7 linked regions of the Canis lupus familiaris genome follow. The protein of the gene in region 1 interacts with the protein of each later gene in a biochemical or structural test. Links are inferred from orthologs where the notes say so. Each region holds a gene or a part of one and is shown in the gene's direction. Other genes may lie near its edges.

Region 1 (4,113 bases):
CAGTGATCATTTTGCATTTGTTTACCATTATTAATTCCATATTATGTTGATTACATATGTAAGTTCCATTGTATTGCCAGTGCTAGCACAGTGCCAGGTACAGAATGGGCATGTGATAATTGTTTATTGTAGAAATAAAGGAAGAAAGGAAAAAAGGCTGAGAGAGCAAGGAAACGGGGAGAGAATGTACAAATGATTGTTCACATTTATATTTCATTTCAGAATCACTGGAAACAGGCCAACTCAACAGGACAAGGGAAGATAGTATTCCTGGATTCAGTCATTTACTCAACAATATTCATGTGTTCATTATTAAAGTAATGTAATTTTCTTTTTTTTTTAATTTTTATTTATTTATGATAGTCACAGAGAGAGAGAGGGAGGCAGAGACATAGGCAGAGGGAGAAGCAGGCTCCATGCACCGGGAGCCCGATGTGGGATTCGATCCCGGGTCTCCAGGATCGCGCCCTGGGCCAAAGGCAGGCGCCAAACCGCTGCGCCACCCAGGGATCCCCTAATCTGGCAAATTTCTTTTCAGGTTTTTTCCATGTATGCATAATACATAGGTAGGATCATTATATAGAGACCTGCTTCTTTGTTTTCATGATACATCGTGAACATTTTCCTGTATTGTTAAGAATTCCTTGAACACCTGGCATTTAAATTGCTAAGCTACATTCTATTGGATGGATGGATGTAATTTAGACGCCCTTCCACCCATTGTTGGATATTTAACGGCTTGCCAATTCGTCACTCCTGCAACTAACGAATACACGCTTTGCGGGAGCTCAGAGATAAATAAGGTGATGAATTAAATCTAGCACGAGCTGGATTTGGGGAAAACAGGAGGCAGCTTCTTCCAGGTGGCTGAAAGGAACAATCACTCGCCGTAGGTGACGAGGCCCTGAAAGGAACGTGCTGTCGGTCAAGGTAAGCCCCGTTCTGTGTCTCGGGTGTGTGCCCGGCCCAGGGCCTGCTCCCGGGCGCCCGGCCTCAGGGCAGGCACCTCGCCTCCGGCTCCCACTAGGGGACGCCCCGGGCCGGGAGCCGCACGTGCCGCGCGCAGGGCCCCGCCCCCACCGGCCCCGGACACGCCCCTCGCGCCCGGTCCCGGCGCGCCCCCCGCAGCTCCGCCTCCAGGCGACCTCCGCGCGGCCTCCCGCTCCCGGAGGGGCCCCGCCCCCGCCCCGCCCCCGCATCCGGGCCCCGGGGCCGCCCCGCCCCGCCCGCCCCGCCCCGCCCCGCCCCGCGGGCCGCCTGCGAGGCGCGGGGGCGGGCCCGGCGCGATGACGTGGGCGGGCGTGCGCGGTGACGGCCCGCGTTCCTGTTACTCAGCGGAGCGGCCGGGGCCGGACGACGGGGCCGGGTGCGCGGAGCCGCCCTGGGTAACGGCCGTGGCGACCGCCCGGACGGCGCCAGTCCCGCGGGCGGGCTTCCCAGTCGCCGTGCGCTGCGTTGCGGGGTGAGTGCGGCGGCTGCCGCGGGGCCCGGGCGCCGGCGGCCCCGCCGTGTTTATGTTATTGTGCCGCCGCCGCCGCCGCCGCCGCCGCCGCCGCCGCCTTCTCCGCGGCCGGGACCCCCTCCCGGGAGTGGGGGCGGGAGCGCGGCGGCTCGGGGCGCGCGGCGGGCGGGCGGGGGCGGGGCGGGGCGGGGGCGGCGCGGGAACAATGGCGGGCGCGGAGGCGGGGCGGCCGGGGGCGTGGGGCTGCCGGACCCCGGCCCGCGCGCCCGCCCCGCCCCACAGCCCCGCGCGCTGCCCTCGCGGATGCCGCGTCCGCGTCGGGAGGGAACGTGGGGCGGGCGCTGGGCGGCGGGTCCTGAGGCGATTCGGGGAAGGTCGGGCGGAGGCGCCTGACTCGCTCCCGCGGCCGCCGAGTCCCGACGCCCGCCCTCGCGCACGGGCTCTCTTTGTGCCGAGGCTGCGGGCGGAGGCGCCGTCAGCCCTGGGCTGCGGGGTCCGCGGGGCCGGGCCGGGGTCGGCGTGCGCGAGCGCGGCCTCCCCTCGGGGGTCGCCGGTGCGGACCTTCCGGCCCTCCCCGCCCCCTCCCCTTTGTCTTGCACTCGTGTTCCCAAGGCTCAGACGGTGGAGCCGAGTCGGTCGTAGAGGATCGCGACGAACGCCTGCCGCGCGGGTGTCTGAGGGTGCGTAGCCGCGGGCCGACTACGGGCATCGGGGTTGCGGGGTCACTGTTTCTACCTCTGAGATTCAGGAGCCGCCTCGGTAGGATTCCGGCCTGTCAGGCCGTTGTGCTTTGGGATGAGCATCCGGCAGGTATCTGGGCCGGTGGAACATGTGTTTATTTCATTCATTCATTGAGCAGCTGTTCAGCACTGTACTCAGAGTTTGAAGCGAAGAGAAATACTTTTTTGATGGAGGAGGATGCTTTGAAATGTAATGGATGTCTTTTTAAATGAGTTATGTAAGCAGTGTGCGTTAAAGGTGTCGTTATACTCTGGGTCATTTATTTTTTTGGTTTTGGGTTTTTTTTCTTTTTTCTTTTAGTACAGTTAGGAGGTTGATCTAAACGTACAATGGCTTTCTTTATTTACAAATTTAACTTTTCAGTTTTAACAGCCTTACAGTCTTAAAAGTCATTTGTAATGTTTATCTCAGATTTCCCTGCTGTGGGTTAAACCTAGGAGATCACATGCTGTAAGGGAACATGCTCAGTGCTGTGCCTGACAAAAGCAAGCAATCAAAATGGGATTTCCTTGAGGACAGGCCTGTCTTTCATCTGTGTCTCCAGCCCTAGCCTGGAATATAGTAAGTGTTCAATAAGAGCTTGATGAAAAACTCTTCACGGTTAATACTATTTAAAATCCAGTCTTTACAGTTCTTTACAGTTCTCTGCAAACTCACTTTCAGTGGGCTAAGTGATTCGTTCATTTGTACTATCTGTCACCGCATCAGGGGCTTTTGAATATTTTAGTTTTTTTTTTCCTAGCACTTCTAATTCATTATCCTAAAATAAAATATTGTCTAAAATGCTTTTGTTGTTTTTGTCTTTTTTTTTTCTTAGTATGTGTATCACACACAGACATAGTGATATTACAGCAGGGGTCTAAAATGATTGAATTTGTCCTTTTTTGAACATTGCTTGAAAAGTTTCTGATGACGCCTGTAAGGGGAAAAGCTAGAGTATGGGAAATAAGCTACATGAAAGTTTTATTTGAAATGTTTAATTTCTAATTGCATTTGTAGAAATGTTTAATTTAAAATTCTACCTTGGTGAAGCATTTGGGCCTAACTGAATTTAAGATTTTACTATTGGAGAAGCATATGGGCCTGAAACTCCAAATAATACTGATTTATTCAAGTTACATCGTTTTTCCACTCACAGTTTAATAAATTTTAGCATGTTTTGGATATGAGAGAATTTGAAATGAGCTTATAGTATTGCCTGATGCAGAGAACAAATTAAAAGGAAATACTTCATTAAGATAAGGAATGAAAATCATGAGATACCAAACTTTTATTGATTTGTCTAGTTACAGTATGTCAGATTTCAGAAAGTGTTACTGATACAATCCTTTGGTGGTAGCTCACTGTAAGGCTACATGTCAATCCAGTTTTTTGTGTTTTTGAAATTCTTTTGGTTTTTAAAAATAACAATTTTATTGAGATACAAATGACATACCATAAAATTCACCCGTTTAGAGTGTGCATCAGTATGGGTTTTAAATATATTCAGAGTTCTGCGTTGATTGCTACTATGCAATTCCAGTACATTTTCATCACCCCAAGAAAAACTACGTACCCATTAGCAGTTACTCCCCTTTCCACTCTAAATTATGTTTATTTTATTTTATTTTTTAAAGATTTTATTTATTTATTCATGAGAGACACAGAGAGAGGGGCAGAGACACAGGCAGAGGGAGGAGAAGCAGGCTCCATGCAGGGAGCCCGATGTGGGACTTGGTCCCCGGACTCCGGGATCAGGCCCTGAGCTGAAGGCAGACGCTCAACTGCTGAGCCACACAGGCGTCCCCTAAGTTATGTTTAAAAAGAGATATCACTGATTCTTTTGGTGAGTATATTCCATTAATGAATTTGAAATGGGCTGTCTTTAAGTGTCCTGACAGAGTAGGAAACTATATTCTTATTATACTCCT
Region 2 (3,500 bases), on another chromosome or scaffold:
TGGATTTGGGGGACACACTGGCCTCTGGCAGTGCACTCCTGACATGCTCAGTAGAGGAAGGGGAGGAGGAGAAGCGGGACATTGGGTGTGCTCATCGGAGGTCTTGAAAAAGAGACATGGTTCTGGGGCATGGGTCCTAGCCAGGCACCACCCAGGGAAGAGCCCTTTCCTGACAGTTCCTGGCTGGTGGTGATCTAGTGTGGGGTTTCCAGACGTGGGGCCAGAGGGTTGATGCCCCCCCAACCCTGGGGTTCCTGTGTGTCCCCCCCAGGCATGGGCAGCAGTGATGAGTGGTCTGATGTTCAAGACATTATCGATTCCACCCCAGAGCTGGACATGAGTCGGGAACCCCGCCTTGATCGCACGGGCAACAGGTACTCCCTGAACCTGGGGTCCTGGAGGGCTCTGTGTTCACTGTGGGCATCGGCGCCTTTGGTGGAGGTGTCCCTTGCAGCCTCTTGCACAGCAGCATTGGCACTGAGTGGCCCAGTGGGCAGTGTTGGAGGGCCCCTGCCCACAGCCCACGAATGTTGCCCACTCACCCTGTGCTTCCCGGGTGTTTCCTCACAGCCCGACCCAGGGGATCGTGAACAAGGCTTTTGGCATCAACACTGACTCCCTGTACCACGAGCTGTCAACCGCAGGGTCAGAAGTCATTGGGGACGTGGATGAAGGAGCTGACCTGCTAGGTAAACTCAAGCCACCCCCGTGACCCTAGGGCCTCAGGTTGCTGTTGTTGGTTTTGTTGGTAATGAAAGCAAAGTCTCTGTCAGCTGTGAGCCAGGAACTTCTTTTTATAGTTTTATCGAAATGTAGTTCACATATCATAAAACTTAAACTACTTAAAGTTCAGCGGGTTTCAGGGTGCTCACAGAGCTGTGTCACTTTCTAATTTTAGAACATTCTATCACTCTGAAAATAAAACTGTGCCTTTGAGCACTCAGTCTAGGCAGTGCACTTTCTAGCAATTTCCTCAAAGAATATGCTTATATGAGGTCACTGCCTATTTTCGAGCCCACGGTTGCCCCCAGAACTCCCTGCACCTGGATTGGAAAGAGTGCAGAGGGACGCCTGGGTGGCTCAGTGGTTGAGCATCTGCCTTCAGCTCAGGTCGAGATCCCGGTCCTGGGATGGAGTCCCACATCAGGGTCCCCGCAGGAGCCTGCTTCTCCCTCTGCCTGTGTCTCTGCCTCTCTCTGTGTCTCTCATGAATATATAAATAAATCGTAAAAAAGGAAATGGGTACAGAGACAGTCCCTAGTAGACTTACTTCGGGTCCTCCTTCCCGTCCTGGGATGGGTGTCAGGCGTGCCCATCAGGCAGGGCTCCAAGGCAAGCTGTGGCCCTCAGCACTGCAGGCAGGAAATTGGATGTGCTCGGTGGTGTTCACCTTCCCCCCACCACATGCCCTGTGCCCTTGTGTCTGGAGCCTGAACTTTGAGAAGCCCGCCTGTAGGACAGGAGCTCCAGGACCTTAGAGCTGCACTTAATCCTTTCCTGCTAGCTAGGTAGGCTCCAGGGCAGGAGGTGGGCTCCAGGGCAGGAGGTGGGCTCCTGGGGACAAGGTGGCTCCAGGGGACAAGGTGGCTCCAGGGGACAAGGTGGGCTCTGGGGCGGGAGGTAGCCTCCAGGGCAGGGGAGGCGGGGTCGGGGGCAGGAGTTGGGATCTGAGGGAGCAGTGGTTCCACTTAGTCCTCTCTGGACACCAGCTTCCATGGAGGTGACTCCTAGGGAAGGGTGCTCCCCACTTCTCACGGCTTAGGGGGGAGCAGCAGCTGGAGCCGGGGCTGCTGCCTCCTCAGGGGAGGTGCTGGTCCCATATGGGAATCAGGCTGCTTCAGCTGCTGTGATCCATATGCAGTCGCCTGCTGCCTGAGGAGGAGGAGCTACATCGCATCAAAGAGTTTTTACTGCCAACCCTCCTGCTGTTGTCCCTCTCCACTGATTAACACTGGTGACCTTTTGCCCTCAGGGACTTGAGGGCACTTGCTTGGCTACTCTGTGTGGATGGCACCGTCTTGGGTGGCTCGGCCAGGCTTCCAGCGGCAGATGTGGCCGGGCTTGAGGCCATGAGGGAAGGGCGCCACTGGCGTGTTCCACCACGTGTACTCTCTCTTTGCTTTGGGGCTGTTGTTGGATTAGATTGCTTTAACTGGGGTGCGGGTACCTCCCGGGAACCGATTCCTTGTGGCATCCGCACCAGCATCACCTTGTGCCTAAAATGGAAGTCTTTTCAGCCAGTCTTTTCAGAAGGTAAAATTTACCTTCTCGCTGATGTTTGAGCGTATAGTTCAGTGTTACAAAGGATGTTCGTACTCGGTGGTGAGACCAGGAGCAAGAACAGGAGGCCCAGCAGTGGGTGTTTCTAATGGGATTTTTCTCATAAGTGTTGTAGAAACATATATTTAAAAAGAAAAACTATTAATATTCAGAAACAATTTACTTAGAGGAAATTACTTTTAACATTCTGACATCCTTCTACTCTATGTAGTTCAGATGATCCTGTATACGTTCTGATTTTCATTTTCGGAAGAGTAATACATGCTTAAATACTATTCAAATAATATGAGAAACTGCCAAGAACAGGGTAAACACCAAATGCCCACCTCCCCCTACCGCCGTCATGAGTGTTTTAATACGTTGCCACACCTTCTCTGGCACTGTAGCACACACATGTGCGTGTCAGGTCATGTCTCCCTCCCCAGCGGGAATGTGAACGTTTCCCTGGCCCACTGATACTCCTCCACACATCAGATTACTTCACAGGACTGCAAATTATTCAACTCTCTTGGTTCTGCATTTTGCTGTTTGGACATTGCCGTCACACATGCTGTGGGCAGACGTCTGCACCCACACCTGTGACAACTTTAGGACCGATTCCTAGAGTGGGAGCCTCAAGGTAAAAGTGGGCTCCTGAGAGCATCTGCATGCTGTTCTCCCAGATGAGGCTGCGCTGGGGCTAGCACCCACAGCCACAGGGGCCTGGCCCGGCTGCCCTTCAGGCGTTGGGCCCGCTGGGCTGGGAGGGGCATGGGAAGGAACGCCCATCAGTAGGGTTCACTGGCTGGGACGAGGCTGTAGGGGTAGCCGTGCACGTTGTGTGTGTCCATGAAGGCGCACTTTTCTGCCTGGGCCCACCTCGGAGGCTGCACGTGCAGAGGACACCACCCAGCAGGCCACCGTGCATCTCGGGTGTTTGAGGATTTGATAAGAGACAACAGCCGTCTCCTTAGGAAAACACACAGGCACGCCGCAGCTTGCATTTCTGTGCCAGCATCGCTGGCAGGGGCAGGAAATGGAATGTAGGGCCGGGGCAGAGTAGGAGCCCACCGGACCTTGTACTATGGCCCCTCACGTCTCACGGCAACATGGTCACGGGAAGTGTCTTGCCAGCGTTGGACATGCATGGCCGCCGTTCATCCCGGGGAATGCTGCTGCCCCCATTTCATGGATGAAGAAACGAGGTCAGGGAGGGTGAGGTGAAGACACAGAGTCAGGAC
Region 3 (3,500 bases), on another chromosome or scaffold:
GAGACACAGGCAGAGGGAGAAGCAGGCTCCATGCACCAGGAGCCAGATGTGGGATTTGATCCCGGGTCTCCAGGATCGTGCCCCGGGCCAAAGGCAGGCGCCAAACTGCTGCGCCACCCAGGGATCCCTTAACTGAGAACTTTTAAAAACAAAATGCTTTTCATTGAATGAGAGAATCCCAGGAAGGTCTTTGCTTATACTTTTAAACCTATATTCTTAGAGTTAGCTCTGTGTCTTTGCCGAACAGCTACATCCGACATATTGGGTTTAGCGTATGTTTGTTGACTATATCTTCCAGTTAACCCTCTTAAAAAGGGGGATAGGGTAGAAAGAAAGGAGCTGACATCTGTTGAGCATCTGTTGCATGGCACATACTGAGCCGAGATATTTAAAAATATTATCTCAACAGCCATGAGAGGTGGGAATGATGATCTCTGTTTTATAGATGAGGAAGTGGAAATCTGGAAGTTAAGGTATTTTTCAACTTCACGTACCTCTGGTAGCTAATGGATTCTGGAACTTGGCAGATGCCATGCTCCCATTGACATCCCAGTGTAGGAGAAACTGTAGTGTGCTTCCAGAGGTAGAGACTATCAATGTGTCTATGTTGCTGTAAACTGGGAGAAACATATAGGATACTGTCCAAAGCATCTTGTATCCCTAATCACAGACCTGATGCCTGTGTTGGGTAGATGGGGTGTTTCTAGATTGTTTACTCACACTAGTGCTTGCAGTGACCATATGAACATTTTGGTTTACAGTTGGGACCCCTGATTTCCACAGGATGGCCCAATGGAATCAGCTACAGCAACTCGACACACGGTACTTAGAGCAGCTTCATCAGCTGTACAGCGACAGCTTCCCAATGGAGCTACGGCAGTTTCTGGCCCCGTGGATTGAGAGTCAAGATTGGTAAGTCCTTCCTGAGAAATTCCCCAAAGTGTCAAGTTTTGATTTGAGTCAGGAAACATAACCTATTCTAGCTTAACTCTGTCCTATTTCATAAAAAAACTGATGGGTACAGGTGATGGGATGAAAGAGATCAGGAGATAAAGAGGTACTCTCAGTCTTGCAAAAGCGTTTTATCCATTAGAAGTGTGTGTGGGCAACTGTCTCTTGGCACCTCGAAGCAGCCTGCCTGGGGTAGCTGTTTTGAAGGCTGATTTGAATCTCATTTCCTTGCCGAGGTCCTCTGTGTGTTCTGACACTCCAGGGATGCACTACAAATATTTTTTGCTTCAGTGAGAGTTCTCTCATGTGTGGAAATTGGGACCATAATTCTGATTACCCTTTAATTAAAGGAATGAGACACAGAGTAAGAGAAATAAACTCATTCATAGAGAAGATAATGGCTCAGAATTCCAACAACTATTTCCTTTTTTTTTTTTTTTTTTTTTTTTTTTTTTTTTTTTGAGAGAGAGAGAGAGCTCCAGGAAAGGGCAGAGGGAGAGAAAGAATCTTATTTTTATATTTATTTATTTATTTATTTATTTATTTATTTATTTATTTGTTTGTTTTAAAGATTTTATTTATTTATTTGTGATAGAGATAGCAGGAGAACAGGGGTAGGGAAGAGGGAGAAGCAGGCTCGTTGCTGAACAGGGAGCCTGATGTGGGGCTCGATCCTAGGCCCTCAGATCATGACCTGAGCTGAAGGCAGATGCTCAACCAATTGAGCCACCCAAGTGCCCCGAGAATCTTAATTTTAAGCAGGCTCCATGCCCAGTGCAGAAGTCACATGGGGCTTCATCTCACAACCCTGAGGTCATGACCTGAGCCAAAACCAAGAGTCAGATGCTTAACAGACTGAGCCACCTAGGTGTCCCTTTTTTTTTTTTTTCATTTTGATATGTTCAGATCCATATATTAATTTTCATTTAATTCAGGCCTATGACCTAGTTTTTTCTAGAATTTGGTGAGGGCCCAGGGAGGTGAGTCAGAGATGATGGAGATGGGCCACCCCAGCCTGGGATTGCTTATTAGTTACTAATAATCTGGCTGTGGAGCTGAGAAAGCAAACTAGCATATCTGTTCACTTTGCTCTTATATCTTATGAGTATATAAGATATTAATCTTATACTAATATCTTTTAAGTATAGACTATGACAGTGGCTTGTAGTATCTGATTATAATTGTTAATAATCATTAAATTCATGACATATCTTGTTGCTGAGCAAGGTGAATCTAAAGTGATGAGTGAGTTAAAGCATCAGGTTTGTCTTGTTTTCTTCGCTCCTTAATGGTGATTTCTGTGCATGCATGTGTGCGCATGTGTGTGCATGCGAGTGTATGTAGGTTTCAGAATCATTCTGTATCCTTCTTTTTTTTCCCAGGGCATATGCAGCCAGCAAAGAATCACATGCTACTTTGGTGTTTCATAATCTCTTGGGTGAGATTGACCAGCAGTACAGCCGTTTCCTACAGGAGTCAAATGTTCTCTATCAGCACAATCTGCGAAGAATCAAGCAGTTCCTTCAGGTGTGATAAGAAACTGACCCTGCAGAGTAGGATGTTAGCTTCTGTCCAGGAAGTATTTCTCTTCTCATTAGCCTGGGTAATGAGATTCTATCTTGTACTTTAAGTCAAAGGAGAAATTATTAGCCCTTTCTCAAACCTCTGTGTACCCTCCCTTGAGCATCATTATCTGAAATCCAATTCTTTTGTCCGTTGACGTCATCGCATAATTGTTAATGGTAATCGTATTACATTAGCATGTTAATAACAAGATCAGAACTAGTGGTTTCATAGGAAGATGACCTAATTTTTTTTTTTTTTTAGTGGGGGGATGTGGGCAGAGAGAATCTTCACCAGGCTCCATGCCCAGCAGAGCCCAGTGCGGGGCTCAATCCCATGATCTTGAGATCATGACCTGACTCAAAGTCAAGAGTCAGATGCCAAACTAACTGAGCCACCCAAACGCCCCAGATGACTTATTTTTCAATGTTAAATGTTTGACCATAATTGGACACCCACGGACAAGGTCTGTCACCTCCATGTAAGACCACGATAGCATATTGTCCAAAGACTCAGACTAATGTACCTTTTGTCACAGTACATCTCATTGTGACGGTCTTTTTTCTGTTTTTCCTTCATCTCCCACCAGTGGCAGCCAGGTTCTGAGGCCCTTGTTTTATTGTTTCATGTAGTAGATGTAATCTTTTGGGTCCACATCTTCTTAGTCTACTGCTACTTTTCGTTTTCTCTCTCTCTCTTTTTTTTTTTAATTTTTTTTAATTTTTATTTATTTATGATAGTCACAGAGAGAGAGAGAGAGAGAGAGGCAGAGACACAGGCAGAGGGAGAAGCAGGCTCCATGCACCAGGAGCCCGATGTGGGATTCGATCCCGGGTCTCCAGGATCGCGCCCTGGGCCAAAGGCAGGCGCCAAACCGCTGCACCACCCAGGGATCCCATCATTTTCTCTCTCTTACTTATAGAGCAGATATCTGGAGAAGCCAATGGAGATTGCCCGAATTGTGGCCCGGTGCTTGTGGGAAGAGT
Region 4 (4,180 bases), on another chromosome or scaffold:
CAGCAGGAGAGGCTGGAAACTAGGGTGTGGGAAACCCAACCCGAGAGGTGAGAGTGGAAGTGAGGAGGAACAGGAAGTGCCTCAAGGCTAGGGGGAAGTGCTGTCGGGTGGCCAGATGAGGTGAGAGTAGGGCCATCAGCGCAGGCGCAGTGGAAGCAGGAACTCTTCGAGCTGACTTGCGGGGAGAAGGGGACCGGGTGGGACCCCAGTGTTTGGGGGGGGTGTCTCTTCTTGTAAACGTTAGCACTCCTATCCCTCTCTCTCTTACTTAGCAGGTGCAGGCTCCCCAGGTTCAGGGGTGGAATGGGGGTGTCGAGGTGACAACCAGACCAGGGAGGCCTCCAGGTGGCTGCAGTGCGGCCTGTGCCCGATCCATCGATGCAGCCCTGGCCATCCCTTCTGGCTTCACGGGGCAGGTCGAGGCTACCCTCTCCACAGGTGGTCAGGGGAGGGCGTGAGAAGATCCCCTAGAGATGCAGTGAGAGGCCCTGGGGGGGGGGGGCAGCGTGTGCCACCACCTCGCCGTGTGACCTTGAGCAAGTGCCATCATTTCCGAGCTTGTTTATTTATAAAATGGGGAAAAAGAGTCGGCACAAATTTGACCAGATTTCTCAGGCCCCGCCCGGTTCTGAAATTCGGTCATTTCCCAGCTGCAGCGCACCCACCCTGGAAGGGACTGGGAAGCGATCAGGGCCAGCGCGTGGAGCGGGGCCCACCGGCCAACGCCTGCCCTCGGAAGGTGCCCTGCGTGGGAGAGTAGGGGGCGGAGGCAAGCGGGGGGAGGGGGGCTCGAGGCTCAGACGACCCGGTGACCCTGCTGCTGGGGAGTAAGTGGCCGCGCTGCGCCGCGGGCTGGAGGGGCGCAGGCTGCGGGGGGGGGCGGGGTGCGCCCCGAGGTGCGCCCCAGGCCTCCGGGGAGGCTGCGCGGCTGCGAAGGCGGAGCAGCGGGCGCTGCAGGGAGCTCAGCCCGGGGAAGCCCCGCGGCCGCGGCTCTAGAGCGCCCCCTCCTCGGGGTGGCGCGGCCCGGGGCGCGCGGGGCGGGGGGAGCCTCGGGAGTCCGCGAGCTGCTATTTTTAGCGGGCGCGGCGGGCGCGCGGGGACTATTTATAGATCAAACAATCCGCGCTCCCTGCGTCAATGGAACCCCGCGTGCGTCACGCGCGCAGACATTCCAGCCTCTCGCCCCGCCCCCCGGGCTCCCCGGCCCGCGCCTCCCCCCGCCGCCTCCCGCCGGAACCGCGCCGCCCCCCGCGCCCTTGTATGGCCACAGCTCGCCGGGCCGCGTGCGTCAGTGGCGCCCCCGCCCCTCGCCGTGCGTCACGGAGCGCTTAAGAGGAGGGTCGGGCTGCGCCGGGGAGCCCCAGCGGCACAGGCTGCGGAGCCCGGAGCGCGCGGCCGGGAGCGCACACGCGGGACGGACGGGCGGGCGGAGCGGAGCCGCCGGGTAGGTGCCCCGCGGGGAGCGTGCGCCCCAGCCCCGGCTTTCGGGGTGTTGCATGGGGGAGACGGCCGTCCGCGCGGGCAGAAAGGATGTTGTGGGGTCGGCGTGCAGGGGCGCGGGCGCTGGGTGCAGCCCGGGCGTCGGGGGGAGCGCTTGCAGCGGGGGCACGACCCGGGCCGCACTCCAGCCCCCGGGCGCCCGAGAGGTGCAAGGTGGAAGCCAGGTGGAAGCCGCGGGGGGGGGGTGGGGTGGAGTTGGAGTTGGCACCGGGAGTGGGGACTTGCTGGGGACGAGGCTGCCTGTGGTTCAGCGCCCCCCCCCCCACTTGGGTGCCCGAGTGGCCCAGGGCGCCCCGGACCGAGGTGCTGATGGGCTCTCGGTACAGTGGGGCGGGGTGTGTGTGTGTGTGTATGGGGGGGAAGATCCCCAGAACTTGAGTTGCAAGGATCCGCGGGACTCCTGCCAGCTCTGGGTTTCCAAAAGGGTCTCCTTCCTCCCCGGCTGGTCGGCCTCCTCCCCCACCCCTCGTTCCTTTAGTTGTTTTCTTAACACGTTAGAGGCTGTGGCTTAGTTTGCAGGGATCCCCGAAGTTGGTGCCTGAGCGGTGTTAGGAGACTTCTGGATTGCTGGAGGAAGTGGCCAGCATGGGGGGCTTGGCTGAGCTGTGGAGGGGGGCTGCTGGTGTTCCACTCAGTCTTCTTAGAGGCAGGGTCTGGGAAGCACCGGGAAGATTGGTTAAGAGGTGTCTTGGATCCTGTGGGGCGTGGGGGCGGGTGCGGACAGAGGAGAGAGAGAGAGAGGTGTGGAAATCTTGGTCCTTGGGGATCCCGAGTGAGAATTGCTCATGTTGGAGTCCCTGGTGTAGTACCTGAAGGACACCCCCCACAGCCCCACAGCCCGGTCACACCCGTGCCCCCCTCCCCCCAGTCCCCGTTGGATCCTACAGGTAGGGTGCAGCCCGCAGCTTGTTCAGCATAACAGGTGCAAACCACATTGTTGCCAGGACCTGCCTGAAGCCGGATCCTCCCTGTTCCCTCCTCCAGCCCCGCCTCTTCCTCCTCCCTGGGGGACTGCTTCTCCCCCACCCCCTTGACGCTGGATGCAGGTCCATATCTGCTGTAGTTAAGTACCTGCGCCGAGGGGGGTGGAGGGGGAGGACAGGTTGGTGGGGGTTGATCCGGATGTGGGATGTCCAAGTGGAGAAACAGGATTTGAATAAGGCTGGAACACCCAGCCTTATTCCAGGTGGCTGCTACCTCTTCTCCACCCCAAACCCATCCCTGCCCCGGCTGTCCTAGCGCTGGAAGACGTGGCCACTCTTATCTCTTGCAGGTGCCGCGTATGCCTGCGGGCGGGCGGGTGGGCACTACCGGGTGGCTGGTGCAGAGCTTGAGGGGCTGTGTGGCCCCCGGCCGGTTGTGGCAGTGTCAGGCCAGGGGTGCGTCGCCCGTGGAGGTGGGAGAGGGCTGGACCCAGAGGACGTTCCCCCCCTCGCCCCCCCCCTCCCCGGGCTCTTGGCCAGGAGGTGGTGCCAGCCTTTGCCCCCTCTCTCTGTTCCCTTGATCGTGGCACTCTGTGTTCCAGCTTGCTTTCTTGCCCCGCCCCCCCCCCCCCCCCCCCCCCCCCCCCGGCCCTGGCTGGGAGGGCCAGAGCCGTGCAGACCCCAGGGGTGGACATGGGATGGGAACCCGTCCCGGGGCCGCCTCTGCGCTAGTTTGCCACGGGTCTGCAAACTTGAGGATCTCCTTCTAAGTGGTGCTGTCTCTGCCCCTTCAGGCCGCTCATGATTGAGGGTGTAACCAACCCTCTTTGCCTGAGCGCCTGGGTTATTCAGGGCCCAGAAACTCCTTCGTGGAGGGACCCAGGCGGGGGCAGGATGGCTTCCATCTGCCCACCTCCCGCCAACAGGCTCCTCCCTGTATGGCCACCTCGAGTCTGCTGGACTCAGAGTTCTCTTATAAAACTAACAAGAGGCAATGCTTTGGGGGTAGCAGAGAAATTCTTCTTAGGGACTGTCCATTCTCCTGGAAGTCTAGGGGGCCTGTTCTCTCCTCCTTCCTGCCCCTATTCGGCTTCCCTCCGGTGTACAGCCTTTAAAGGTCTGGAGCCCGGCTACTTGATCCCCTGGGGAACTGGGGATTGCTGAGGAGGGCCAGGGCTCCCTTCCTTTTTGCCTTTGGGAGCATCCCAGGCGGTGCCGAGTGGGTGCCCATCCCCAGATGGCAGGACTGGGGTGCGCGTGGGAGCTGCAGCCTTTGTTCAGTGTGTCGGGTGGGGGCAGGGATGGGGGACAGGCTCGGGGCTGCTTAGGCCTCTTGCTTAGCAGCTGGGCCTTCAGTCTCGACTCCTCTTCCATTTTCAGGATGTCCTTCCCAGGCACCGTGGGGGGAGGAGGAGAGGGGGCTTTGCAAAGGCTGGGCTGTGCCTGGGAATATTCCCAGAAGTGCCAGGTTGGAGAAATGACATACCTTCACCCAGAGAGTGGGCTAAGTAAGGCTTTGCCTGGCTGCCTCTCCCACCCACCCTTCTTCCAGCCCCTGCCCACGCCTTACCCGGTGCGGGAGGGCAGGGGGCTGAAGGAACACAGCTTCCCCCTGTTCCAGCAGAGAAATGCTGGCTAGATGCCTTCCCTAGGGTTCCCAGGCTGACCGGGGTGTGGCTGGCCTTCCAGCTGAGCCCACTCCTGCTGGGCCACTGCCCGGGGGCTTTGTGACATGAGGGTTGAGATGGCACTCCGGC
Region 5 (4,134 bases), on another chromosome or scaffold:
CTGGGCTGAGGCCTAGACAATCTCTGTTCAATCTCTTCTATCCTTTTTTTCAGGGGCTTAGAGAACTACAAGGCCTGCAGAATTTCCCGGAGACACCTCACTATTGACTTCTTCCCGCCTCCGTAGACATTAAAGAGCCTGAATGCCTTTGAGTCACATGGCCCTTCTTTCCCCACCTCAACCCTTTGCTGTTTGCTAAGGTGCCCTGTTTCTAAAGCACAAAGTTACCAGGAACCCCAGAGAGCCAGTCTCTATGTGGAACCTTTAAAGCACCCCTGAAGTCCCGCCTCCAGCCTGTTGCCTGGCAGCATTTGCCACTTGACTTTCTGCACTGCCCTCTTTTCTGTCGCCTTGGAAACCTGGGCCTCCCACCTGACCCTTTTATCTTCCTGGACGTAACTGTCTTAATCATAGAGAATGGGCTGATTCAGGGTGGAGGTTTGTTCCCAAGACAATCAGCCTTTCATTCCTGGCCCTAAAGTTTGCCCCTCTCCCCCACCCTAATCATTACTGGGGTACCTTAGATTACACCCACGCCCGTCTCATTCCAACCTTGGCCTCACCCGGCTTCTAACTAATTTCAGCTTCCACCAATGGGCGCAGAGCCTGATCCCGCCCTACCCCGGCCGGCCCCTATTTTAGGTTGAGTCTAGCTTCCGCCAATCATTGCAGAGCCAGGTTCCGCCCCCTTATAACTGGCTGAGGCTCAACGCTGACCTCCTCGTAGGCTTTAGTTTCCGCCACTCAACGCTCCTTTGCGTGCCTGGCCGCTGTCCAACCCTATCTCTGCTCTGTCCTAAACTCGTCTTTTCTACCCAATCACGATAGAGTTATCCTCCCACCTACGCACAGTCCTGGCCCGACCCCCTCCCAGCCTGCCGCTACGCCCACTTCCATATAAGTCCCGCTTCCGCTGAGCAGCGTGGAGTGCAGCACCGCCCAGTTGGTGTTTTGGCAGCTGTCTGGAGTCCCTAGTCCGCCAATCAGTAGAAAGCAGAGTCCATCCGCCCCTATCCTCGGAGGCCGTCTTCCATGCAGGCCAATTATTATCAGGCAGGCGCCCCCAGAATCTTGTCAATCGCCCACAGGCTGTCAGCCTTGGGCCAATCAGCGTGAAGCGCCAGCGGGGCCCAGCACGCCCCCTCGGAACCCAGGCGGCTATCTGCGTTCCATCAGTTCTCCTCGGGCCAATCATGGCCTAGCTCTGCGGGGCAGGGCCCGCCTCCCCAACCCTGGAAGCCGCGCGGTCGAGCCAAGGCGCTGTGTCCAATCAACCAGCCGCGGAATGCTCGGCTCCTCCTCCAGGGGCCCACGTGAGCCGTGAGGAAACGCAGGGGCGGCTTCTAGGTGCCGCCGCCGCCGCCGCCGCCACCGCCGCCACCGCCGCCACCGCCACCTCGGAGCCCGGGCCTGGGGGGCGGTGGGGCTGCGCATGGAGCCCCCGCCCCCCGGAGCTGCCAATACTGCCACTGCGCTACACACAGGTGAGCCCGGGGCCTGGAGGGTGGAGGGCCCGTCCGTGACCCCACGTATCCTTCCCGCCCCCGCGCGAGGGATGTGGCTTGGCCCATGGCCTGCTGGTGTTCAACTGCCCACCGCCACCGCCACGGCTGGTGGACCTGCCTGTGGTATTGTCCCCTCCCTTCGCCCCTTGTAGTCGATCTGACCGTGGCCTGACCCCCCTTCCTGTTTTATAATGGATCGGTCTGCGTGCTTATAGTTCTCCCCACCCCACCTTACAGTGGACTCGTCCGTGGTCCTGCCCCGCCCCCACCCCCACTTAGAGGGGAGCAGCCTCGGGCATTGTCCCTCCTTGACAGAAGGTGCATCTGACTGTTTATTTTCTCCTGTCCTCAACTTTCAAGGGCCCCGTCTGTGGCCTTGTAGTTCTGTTCCTTGTAGTGAATCAGTCCATGGCGTGTTGCACCCCCCCCGCACCCCCTTTAACAGTGAGTTAATCTGTGAAGTTGTATTCCTGCCTCCTCCAGTCCCCCAGTGCATCAGTCCCATGGTTTTATCTTTTACAGTGTATCGGTCTGAATGCTAGTATCCACATCCCTTGTCGTTATCAGCCCATTGCCCTAGCCTCTTTTTTTTTTTTTTTTTTCAGACTGTTTCTCCAGCCCTTGGGCTTCTCTCTTCCTTTTAATAGTGGGTCAGTTTCGTGTTTTTGAACTCCCCATTTTCAGTAGCTCATTCCATGGCCTTGTTCCCTTCTCCTTTTAATGAGTCCGTGTGATGGCATTTCACCCCATCTACTCTTGTGCAGAGTAGATGCCTTTCTGCTCCCCTTGCCCCCCATAAAGAAGATGAGCCTTTGCACTCCCCTCCACCCCCGCCTTTGCAGTGGATCTGTTCATTGGCCTTCTTGTTCCCCATGTGCTTGCATCCAGGCACACACCCCCATACCCTCCCCTGAGTCCAGTGCTTTGTAATCTCTTCTCCAGGAGGGTGCTTTTATTTTGTCCCTCCTTTCCTTGTGGTGGATCAGTCCATGGCCTTCCCTGCTTCCTCTCTTCTTAATGGTGGATCATCCTGTGTGCTTGTTGAACCTGGCTCTTTTTTACTCTAGAACACATCCCCCTCGTACACATCATTAATCCCTAAGACATTCTGCCTCACTGCAATAAACGGATGCATTCAAGATAGCGATAATGCCATTAGGAGCTAACGTTTATTGAGCACCTACTAGGTACCTGGCAAAGTGCTTTATATCCATGACCTCATTTCGTCCTCACCACAATCCTGTGAGACAGGTACTCAGGAAAGTTCGGCACAAGGGGCTCAATACGTTATTCAGAGGTAAGTACCCAGTTAGGTTGCCCCTCAGAACACAGAATAATTTTTGAGGATCCCCTTTCTCACTTCATCCCATGCCACATGAGACCCCACTCCTTAAAAAACAAAGCACCTCCCGTCTCCAAGCTTTTGTTTTTGCTAGTTTCCCCCCCGCCTGCAGAGCTGTCTCCATTCCACACTTTTTCTCAGCACCCATCCACCCGCAATCGCAGCAGCCATATGATCTGAGTGATTTAACCACTTTCTCTCCGCACCTGCTTCCTCATTTGTAAAATGGAGGCATCAAAACCAGAATCCCCTCCAGTGTGAACATATCTGAGAGTTAATAAGACAAGTAACCTCTCTGGCTGCACCTCCTGCACCTTGTCCCTCCGACTCTGTTCCAGCCATACAAAGCTCCTCACTCATCCTCAAATCAAACACGCCAGATACAGCCCAGCCTGAGGGCCTGTGCATTGGCTATATTTTCTACCTGGAATAACGTCGTTCCCCTGATCTGTATGTGAGTCCTTTCAGAGCTCTATTCAAATGTCAGCCTGCCCCTGATCATCTGAACCTACATACTTAACAGGACTCAGGTTCCTTCTCTGCAGTAGTGGTCCCCTTTGCCCTTCATCACTATCAGACACACTGTGTAGTTTACCAGTTCACTGTCCCTCCCCATTAGAACAGTCAGTCCAATGAGGGTTTAGTTTTTTTGTCTGCTTATTTACTGCTGGGTAAATATACTTAGTATATACTAGGTGCTCAATAAGAATTTGTTGCATGCATGAAGGTGAAAAATATTATTTCAGACAAATCAGGGTGCAAGGGGAGGGAAGGGTTGGAGATGAAGAGGGTATACGAAAACTAGCTAAAGAAACTAGTTGGGACTGTTCGTTCAGCAAACACTTAGCACCTACTGAGTACCAGGCACTCTTCTAGGTGCTGGGGATATGGGAAGGAACAGAACAGGCAGAAATTCCTGCCCTTGTGGAGCAGACGTTTGCTAAAAGTGGGGGAGACGGACTATATAAATAAAACAGTAAGTAAAATTAGATAGTATGTTAGGCGCTAAGGAGGAAAGTGAAGTCGGGAAGACAGGGAGAGAGTACGGGAGTGATTGAAATCTTGGGCACTGGGCAGGCCTCACTTAGAAGGTGACCCTTGAGTTAAGGCCTGAAGGAGATCAGGGAGGAAGACAAAATATCTAGGGGAAGAGTGTTCTGGAGGTGGAAGGAACAGCCAGTGCAAAGGCCCTGAGGTGGGACTGTGCCTAGTGCATTCAAGAAACGTGAAGGAGGCCAGTGTGGCTGGAGCAGAGCAGAGGGCGGGAGGGAGGCAGGCAGGCAGGCA
Region 6 (2,637 bases), on another chromosome or scaffold:
GAGGATGGTGCCTTCACGGAGTGTAACAACATGACGCTCCTCAACTTGCTCCTTAAGGTTCTCGGGCCCATGCATGAGAGAAACCTGACTCTGCTCCTGCTGCTGCTCCAGGTGTGGTCAGGGAAGGGCTTTGCTGGCTCTGGTCTCCCTTTCTCCATGGCTCTGACTCTGGTGTGTTTCTTTCTCCTCACAGATCCTTGGCAGTGCTGTCACCTTCTCCATCCGGTACCAGCTTGTCCGGCTCTTCTACGATGTCTGAGTCCCCCAATCCTTGCCCTTCACTGCATAGTCTGCAGGGTTCCTGACTCAGGCCTGCCTCTTTCTGGGCCAGGCAAGCTTCCGGGCCCAGGCCTCTCTCACCTCTTACTTTTCTCCAGATTTTGTACTTAGCGATTCCGTTCCGCTGTGATCGACATCCTGGGCCTGTCTTGCCCTGTACTGACTGTTGATTGGACTTTGCCTGTGGCTTTCTTCAACTTGCTGCTCTCCCTCTCTATCCCATCCCTGCGGCCTCCCAAAGTGGGATACTGTGCTTTTTATGCAGTTATCCACCACTCGGACTCTCGAGGAATATGTTGGGCCTGGGGATAGAACCCTGGCTGGGGAGAGGGACACAGGCTCGAAGATCACTTGATTATTTGACCATAAATTAAGTATTCTGATTCGTAAGAGCAGATTGGGGGGCCAGGTGCTCCCAGTGGTGACAATAAAGTGTTGTCTTTTTCTTGGTGTTCCTGTAAGTATATTTTGGGCATTTTAGGGTAGATCGGGAGGATTGGTGGAGGTACCTCCTCCAAGAGGATGCCTATCCCTCTGCCCATCTTTTTTCTTTCAGCACAGTGGGCTCCTTGTAACAAGAAGTCAACAGAAAGAACAGACCAAATAGAACATGTTGAATAAGCCCTGAAATCCTCATACTTCAGGTGGCAGGGAGAGCCCTAAGATTGGACTTGCCTGTTCTCTGGTGCCGAACAGAAGTTTTTAGGGGGAGCAGCGGGAGGGGTTCCCATTTCTTCCCTCTCTCATTTCCCTCTGCAGGATGGGAGGAGGGAGAAAGGAGAGAAGAATGACCAGACCAGGAAGGGAAGGGAGTGGTGTCGACCCCGTTCCTTTAAAAATCCCGGGCCCGCACCGGTTTCCCAGAGGCCCTCGAGGTGGCCCAGACTCCACCCTCTTTGCCTTCCGGTTCTGGGCTCCAGCTGTAGCGTTTAAATCTGGCGCCCTTCGCAAGGATTGGCTACATCGGGGAGGGGTTGGCCGGCTGCGTGCTACCACTCCTCCTCGCCTTTTTCCCCGGGCAAAAGGTTTTCAAATCGGACCAATCGGCGGGCGCGCTGCCTCGGCCGTGGCGCGTCACTGAAGGGTTAACTGCAACCAACCGGAGGCGGGTACCCGAGGAGAGAGCCAATCAGGAGGGCGCGGAGGTGTGCCCTGGGGGCTTATAAGGCCGGCCCCTGGGCGCGCGCGGCAGCAGTTGGACTGCGGCGGGCGGCTGTTCGTTGCCCCCTTCGAGGCGTCCCTCTTCACAGCTCTTCTACCTCGCGCAGCATGTCGGGCCGCGGCAAGACCGGCGGCAAGGCCCGCGCCAAGGCCAAGTCGCGCTCGTCGCGCGCCGGCCTCCAGTTCCCCGTGGGCCGCGTGCACCGGCTGCTGCGGAAGGGCCACTACGCCGAGCGGGTGGGCGCCGGCGCGCCGGTGTACCTGGCGGCCGTGCTCGAGTACCTGACGGCCGAGATCCTGGAGCTGGCGGGCAACGCGGCCCGCGACAACAAGAAGACGCGCATCATCCCCCGCCACCTGCAGCTGGCCATCCGCAACGACGAGGAGCTCAACAAGCTGCTGGGCGGCGTGACGATCGCGCAGGGAGGCGTCCTGCCCAACATCCAGGCCGTGCTGCTGCCCAAGAAGACCAGCGCCACCGTGGGGCCGAAGGCGCCTGCGGGCGGCAAGAAGGCCACGCAGGCCTCTCAGGAGTACTGAGGGGCGCCCGCGCCGCAGCCGGCCCCCATGCCACCACAAAGGCCCTTTTAAGGGCCACCACCGCCCTCACGGAAAGAGCTGAGCCACGTCGGGCTCGGGGCGGGCGGCCGCGGCGCTCGGCTCCCCCCCGCCGCGTCGTCACCGCCGCCGCCGCCGCCCGGCCCGCCCCTCCCCCGCGCGGGCTCGCCTGCCCTCGCTCCCGCCGCCTCCCGGCCGGAGGGCCGCCCGCTCGCCCGGCGCAGGGGCCCGGAGGGGGCCGGGGGCGCGCCGCTGCCCGCCGCGGCGCCAGTGACTCAGCCGCCCGGGCCGCGCTGAGGGCCGCGGGGAGGGCCGCGGGGAGGCCGCGGCGCCGCCTGGAAGAGCCGCTCGGCGCGCTGACGCAGGGCTGAGGTACGCGCCGGGGCCGGGCCGGGCCGGGACTCTCCGGACGCCGCGGTGCGGGGACGACCCGTCACTGTCCGCCCTGCCGCCCCCTCGGCTCGGGCCGAACGCGTCCGCGGGGACCTGCCACCAGGGGGGGAGGGGCGGTGCGCCCCGCGGGCCCCGGGACTGCAGGAGGCGCGCGCCCGCGAACCCCGCCGCCCGGCCCGCTCTCTCCGGCGACCGCTCCGCGGGCCTCGCACCTCCGTACCAGCACCGGCCCGACCGTCCCCATCT
Region 7 (4,137 bases), on another chromosome or scaffold:
TGTCCTTATCAAACTCCTTTGCGCCTGCAGGCGAGGGAAGAGGAAAAAGCTCTTATTTCTTTAGGGTCCTTTGATGCAGGCTCCCCGCAGGTAGCATCTCCACCCCTCTGCGTACCCCAAGACAACTTTCCCGCAGTTTCTCTGAGATTTTCCAGGCGCAAGCCAGCCTGCCTCGCCCCCACCCCCGCCCCACCCCCAGGCTCTTCCTCGGGAAAAAAAAGTCTGGAAAACCCAGAGCGGCGGCGCCGCCCCGTCGACCTGGGCGGGTGGTTTACCCTCCGCTCCGGCTGCTTCTCCGCCCGCGGCGGTGTCCCAGGAGCGCGGGGCCCGCGGGCCTGCGTTCGCCCCGGGGCCGCGCTGGGGGGCGGGGACCCTGCGCGCACGGCGAGCCCCGCGACCGCCCGGCTACTGCGCGCGCTCCCTGCAGCTTCTGGCCGGGCCCCAGGCCGCCGCCTCTGAGCAGCCCTCCGGGCGGCGGGCCGAGCCCCGGGAGGCCGGCGGGGTCGGCGGGGGCGTGACCGCGCGCAGCTGCAGGCGGGCCGGAGCGCGCCGCTGCCGCGCGGGGTGGCACCCGGAGGGGCAGCGACATCTGCGGGCGGAGGACGCGGGGAGCAGCGCGGCTGGGCGGGCCCGGCTTCCCGGCCCCCGGCGCCCCCAGCGCGTGGTGGGCGCTCGCGGGGCCCCGGTGCAGGAGCGGCTCCCGGGCTGCGCGCTCCCGCCGCTCCCGCCGCTCCCGCCGCTCCCGCCGCTCCCGCCGCTCCCGCCGCTCCCGCCGCAGGCTGCCCGGCGACGGCCGCGGATCTCGGGTTAGGGTCTGTCGAAGCACCTGGAGCGCCTGGGCGAGCCGGCTCCCCGCCGGGGACGGAGACTGCTCGCGGGGCCCGCCCTCGGAAAGTTACTCCGACTCTTCCGATCCTTGGTCCCGAGTAGGAGGGAAAGAGAAGACGCGATCCGCACCCCCGGGGCAGGGGCACGCGGGGGGCTCCGGGCCCAGGGACCCAGCCGGTTTGAGCCGGAGCAGCGATCCGGCCCATTGACACTTCGGCCCCGGAAAGGGTTAACTGCATCCAGCCGGTTCGGTTTACATGTAAATAGAGAGCAGCTGCTCCGCGCGGGCCCCGGCTGGCCCTTTTAAGTTTTTGATTGGTTGCCAATGACATCACCGCCCGCGTTCTAACACCGAGGACCCGGAGCGGCGTCGGATAAGCCCTCCTTAAAGAGACGAGGCCCCGCCCCCGGCCCCGCCCCGCCCGCTGCCCATTGGCCGCGGGCCGCGGCGAGGTAGCGGTCGGCTTTCTCCGGCTTCCTATTGGCCCGACGTGCCGTCGCTCGGCAGCCGGCCCGCCCCCTCAGAACCTTACATTTACAGTGTAGCAAAAGAGAAAGTAACTATGTTGCTGCTGGAGATCAATGAAGCCAAGTGAATGGGGGCTGAATGGGCGAATCCTTAGCTGAAGCGGAGCGCCAGATGGTGGAGGGCTACACTTATTTATGAAGTAAGTGGAAGTCAGCGCGGCTCCTCTGGAGAGCCTGGGAGTGTAAGGCGGTGTGAGTGTGAGTGTGAGTGTGAGTGTGTGTGTGTGTGTGATGCGATGCTCACGGGGGAGCCGCAGCAGGTGAGGGTATAGGGTTCCTGCTGTTGGCTCACGCTGCCCTGTGCGTTGACTCTCTCCGCAGTCGACTTGGATTTGGGGAGAAGAAAGAAAATGAGGTTTGTTGGGATGCTTTGCGGCAGTTTTAAATGCCAGGGGCTTGTTAGTGCGCTGTGTTGCGAAGGGGGATGAGCGCCCAGGAGTGGGGAAGTAGCATTCTCTAACGACTTAATTTTCTTTCCAGCCCCTGCCTAAGAGGTGGAAGGACGGCCAGCAAGGGAGAGGGGGCAGCTTAGTGTTTCTCTGGGAGGTTTCCTGGGCCGGTCTGGATGCTTTCATGGGCAATATAGACGCCCGACCCTCTGCTGCAGGGATGCAGATCTCTTTCTACACTCCGGCGTGTGTGTGTGTGTGTGTGTGTGTGTGTGTGTGTGTGTGTGTGTGTGAGCCGCGCACTCCGCGTAGAGGTGGGGGTCCCAGCCTGTGTCTCCATGAACACGCTTATGCGTCCCTCACCAAGGAAATGGGCTGTTGATCCTGGGACATACCCTACCTGGTAACACAATAGCAGAGACTTTCACCGCTTGGTCCAGCTGGGAAACAGTTCTAGCTTCTGGAATAGTACTTGCTCTTCAAAAAAAAAAAAAAAAAAAAATACTACGCAAAGGAGGGAGGGAGAGTGGGAGGGCCGGAGGGCCAGGGATGAACCCTTCTCTCCCATCCAAAAGTGGAGGAGAGAAACCTGAGTCGGTGGGGATCTGGGAACAAGTCGGGTGCGTGTCTCTGTGTGTCTGCGTGTGTGTGTGTGCGCGCCCGCGTGTGGACTCTGCCTGTGACACTTTGGCTCGGTGTCAGAGAATGGTGACGGTCGTGTGTAGACGGATGATAGATGACATTTTTCCAGACATCTCTTAAAGTTCCTTTAGACGAGCGGCTCTTGCATGGGGTTTGGTTTCTTTTCTCGGTGCGTGTCTAATAGAAAAGGAGCTGGTAGGGTCGGGTGGTAGAGTGCCCCTGTGCCTATGGAAGGAGGGAACTGGTCCTTTGCAGGCTCCCTCTCCTGAGGCAGGAGGTGGACCCTGTGGGCAACACTTCACTGCCCCCTTTAACAGGGACCGGCTCATTGGGAAGTCCTTTCTACGGAATTCATCCTCTTGGAGGGGCGGGGGTCTATCTGTGGGGGATTGAGATCTTATCCACGGGGCTGCCTCCCATCCCTCTGGGATGCCCGGCCTCTGTCAGCAGGGAAACGAAGGAGGTAGCAGAGTCGATGTGGTCCTTTCCTTAAAGGCAGGAGTGTGTGTATGTGTTTGTGTGTGTTTGGGGGGGGGGGGGGATGAGGTGGGCAGCAAAGGGCGATGGGTCTGCCAGGGTTGGGGGTTACCAGCCTGGCTCCTTAGCCTGAGGCTTTGTTTCAGGACATTTCGTTTGTAACAAAAGGGGAAATGCAGAATTAATTTATAAGAGACTAACAGGAAACACGGGAGGTTTTCATATGACTCTGTCGTGCTTTTCAAAGGAATGCAAAGCAAGAATAGCTCCCCGTTCAAGAGATTCACTTAGGGGGATACTCTCATTCTGATTTGCAGAAAGTTGCCATCCGCCCCTGATGTATATTTAGCTGCTGTATATTTTGGTGAGCCGGGCCAGCGCTCTTGGTCATTCCTTTGCCTTTGCAGTGAGTGAAGGAATTAAACGGAAAGTATGCACGGGTGGACAAGTGGGTCTTGCTCAGACGGTTGCACTATGCTTCTGCCCAGGAGGTGAGGCCCAGAATAGATGCCTCTTAGGAGCCTTCTTTTCTGTCTTCGGCTTTTCCCATTCTTTGTGCTTGTCCTTTCTCCAAGGCTGAGCTTCCACGTAGTACGTCCGTGAGAAGGTGGTTCATCAACTGTGTGGGCTGTACGTGTAACCTTGGACTTAGTGACCAAAGAGGAGGGGGGCCCTCGGGTTGACATCCTCTTGGAATCTGTAAAAAAAAAAAAAAAAAAAATGAGTTTCGGGCTTGGAGAGCGGCTTGATAAAGGGCCCTTAGGACAACTTCACTCAGAGGGATGCAAAGGCCTTTCCTAGGGTTTGGATCAGACTGCCTTGTGTGTCACATGACTTTATTCTTTCTTTCCCCCTCCCCTTCTTTACAGACTGTCTTGAGTTCTTCAGTTGCCAGTTTTCAGCCTCCTCATGCCTCCGTCTCCTTTAGACGACAGGGTAGTAGTGGCACTGTCTAGGCCCGTCCGACCTCAGGATCTCAACCTTTGTTTAGACTCTAGCTACCTTGGCTCGGCCACCCCGGGCAGTGACAGCCCCCCTCCCGTCATTGCGACCACCGTCGTATCCCTCAAGGCTGCGAATCTGACGTATATGCCCTCATCCAGCGGCTCTGCCCGCGCCCTGAATTGTGGATGCAGCACTGCCAGCTGCTGTACTGTGGCAACCTACGACAAGGACAATCAGGCCCAAACCCAAGCCATCGCCGCTGGCACCGCCACCACCGCCCTCGGAACCTCTGCCACCTGCCCTGCCAACCAGATGGTCAACAACACTG

Evidence for each region.
Region 2: the proteins of MAPK8 (region 1) and MAPK8IP3 form a complex in vitro, tested with the Homo sapiens proteins (3 studies listed by BioGRID, with this or other methods). The link is inferred for Canis lupus familiaris from reciprocal best matches to the Homo sapiens genes MAPK8 and MAPK8IP3.
Region 3: of the proteins of MAPK8 (region 1) and STAT3, one has a biochemical effect on the other in vitro, tested with the Homo sapiens proteins (2 studies listed by BioGRID). The link is inferred for Canis lupus familiaris from reciprocal best matches to the Homo sapiens genes MAPK8 and STAT3.
Region 4: of the proteins of MAPK8 (region 1) and NR4A1, one has a biochemical effect on the other in vitro, tested with the Homo sapiens proteins (2 studies listed by BioGRID). The link is inferred for Canis lupus familiaris from reciprocal best matches to the Homo sapiens genes MAPK8 and NR4A1.
Region 5: of the proteins of MAPK8 (region 1) and ELK1, one has a biochemical effect on the other in vitro, tested with the Homo sapiens proteins (3 studies listed by BioGRID). The link is inferred for Canis lupus familiaris from reciprocal best matches to the Homo sapiens genes MAPK8 and ELK1.
Region 6: the proteins of MAPK8 (region 1) and H2AX form a complex in vitro, tested with the Homo sapiens proteins (2 studies listed by BioGRID, with this or other methods). The link is inferred for Canis lupus familiaris from reciprocal best matches to the Homo sapiens genes MAPK8 and H2AX.
Region 7: the proteins of MAPK8 (region 1) and DUSP10 form a complex in vitro, tested with the Homo sapiens proteins (2 studies listed by BioGRID, with this or other methods). The link is inferred for Canis lupus familiaris from reciprocal best matches to the Homo sapiens genes MAPK8 and DUSP10.

Annotation. Positions count from the first base shown.
Region 1 is NC_049249.1:431,453-435,565, forward strand, and holds the start of MAPK8 (mitogen-activated protein kinase 8), read left to right. Parts: upstream 1-1,313; 5' UTR 1,314-1,462; intron 1,463-2,068; exon of another isoform or gene 2,069-2,142; intron 2,143-2,614; exon of another isoform or gene 2,615-2,764; intron 2,765-4,113. UniProt on the Homo sapiens protein: Serine/threonine-protein kinase involved in various processes such as cell proliferation, differentiation, migration, transformation and programmed cell death.
Region 2 is NC_049227.1:39,591,761-39,595,260, reverse strand, and holds part of MAPK8IP3 (C-Jun-amino-terminal kinase-interacting protein 3), read left to right. Parts: intron 1-271; coding exon 272-374; intron 375-570; coding exon 571-689; intron 690-3,500.
Region 3 is NC_049230.1:20,455,442-20,458,941, forward strand, and holds part of STAT3 (signal transducer and activator of transcription 3), read left to right. Parts: intron 1-761; exon of another isoform or gene 762-783; 5' UTR 784-784; coding exon 785-912; intron 913-2,333; coding exon 2,334-2,478; intron 2,479-3,436; coding exon 3,437-3,500. UniProt on the Homo sapiens protein: Signal transducer and transcription activator that mediates cellular responses to interleukins, KITLG/SCF, LEP and other growth factors. Once activated, recruits coactivators, such as NCOA1 or MED1, to the promoter region of the target gene.
Region 4 is NC_049248.1:43,697,335-43,701,514, forward strand, and holds the start of NR4A1 (nuclear receptor subfamily 4 group A member 1), read left to right. Parts: upstream 1-1,380; 5' UTR 1,381-1,444; intron 1,445-4,180. UniProt on the Homo sapiens protein: Orphan nuclear receptor. Binds the NGFI-B response element (NBRE) 5'-AAAGGTCA-3'. Binds 9-cis-retinoic acid outside of its ligand-binding (NR LBD) domain.
Region 5 is NC_049260.1:41,470,256-41,474,389, reverse strand, and holds the start of ELK1 (ETS domain-containing protein Elk-1), read left to right. Parts: upstream 1-1,334; 5' UTR 1,335-1,484; intron 1,485-4,134. Other genes in the region: protein UXT, read left to right, coding at 54-107. UniProt on the Homo sapiens protein: Transcription factor that binds to purine-rich DNA sequences. Forms a ternary complex with SRF and the ETS and SRF motifs of the serum response element (SRE) on the promoter region of immediate early genes such as FOS and IER2.
Region 6 is NC_049226.1:14,790,354-14,792,990, forward strand, and holds H2AX (histone H2AX), read left to right. Parts: upstream 1-1,445; 5' UTR 1,446-1,548; coding exon 1,549-1,980; 3' UTR 1,981-2,137; downstream 2,138-2,637. Other genes in the region: DPAGT1 (UDP-N-acetylglucosamine--dolichyl-phosphate N-acetylglucosaminephosphotransferase), read left to right, coding at 1-111, 194-259. UniProt on the Homo sapiens protein: Variant histone H2A which replaces conventional H2A in a subset of nucleosomes. Nucleosomes wrap and compact DNA into chromatin, limiting DNA accessibility to the cellular machineries which require DNA as a template.
Region 7 is NC_049259.1:16,925,301-16,929,437, reverse strand, and holds the start of DUSP10 (dual specificity protein phosphatase 10), read left to right. Parts: upstream 1-1,337; 5' UTR 1,338-1,496; intron 1,497-3,733; 5' UTR 3,734-3,773; coding exon 3,774-4,137. UniProt on the Homo sapiens protein: Protein phosphatase involved in the inactivation of MAP kinases. Has a specificity for the MAPK11/MAPK12/MAPK13/MAPK14 subfamily. It preferably dephosphorylates p38.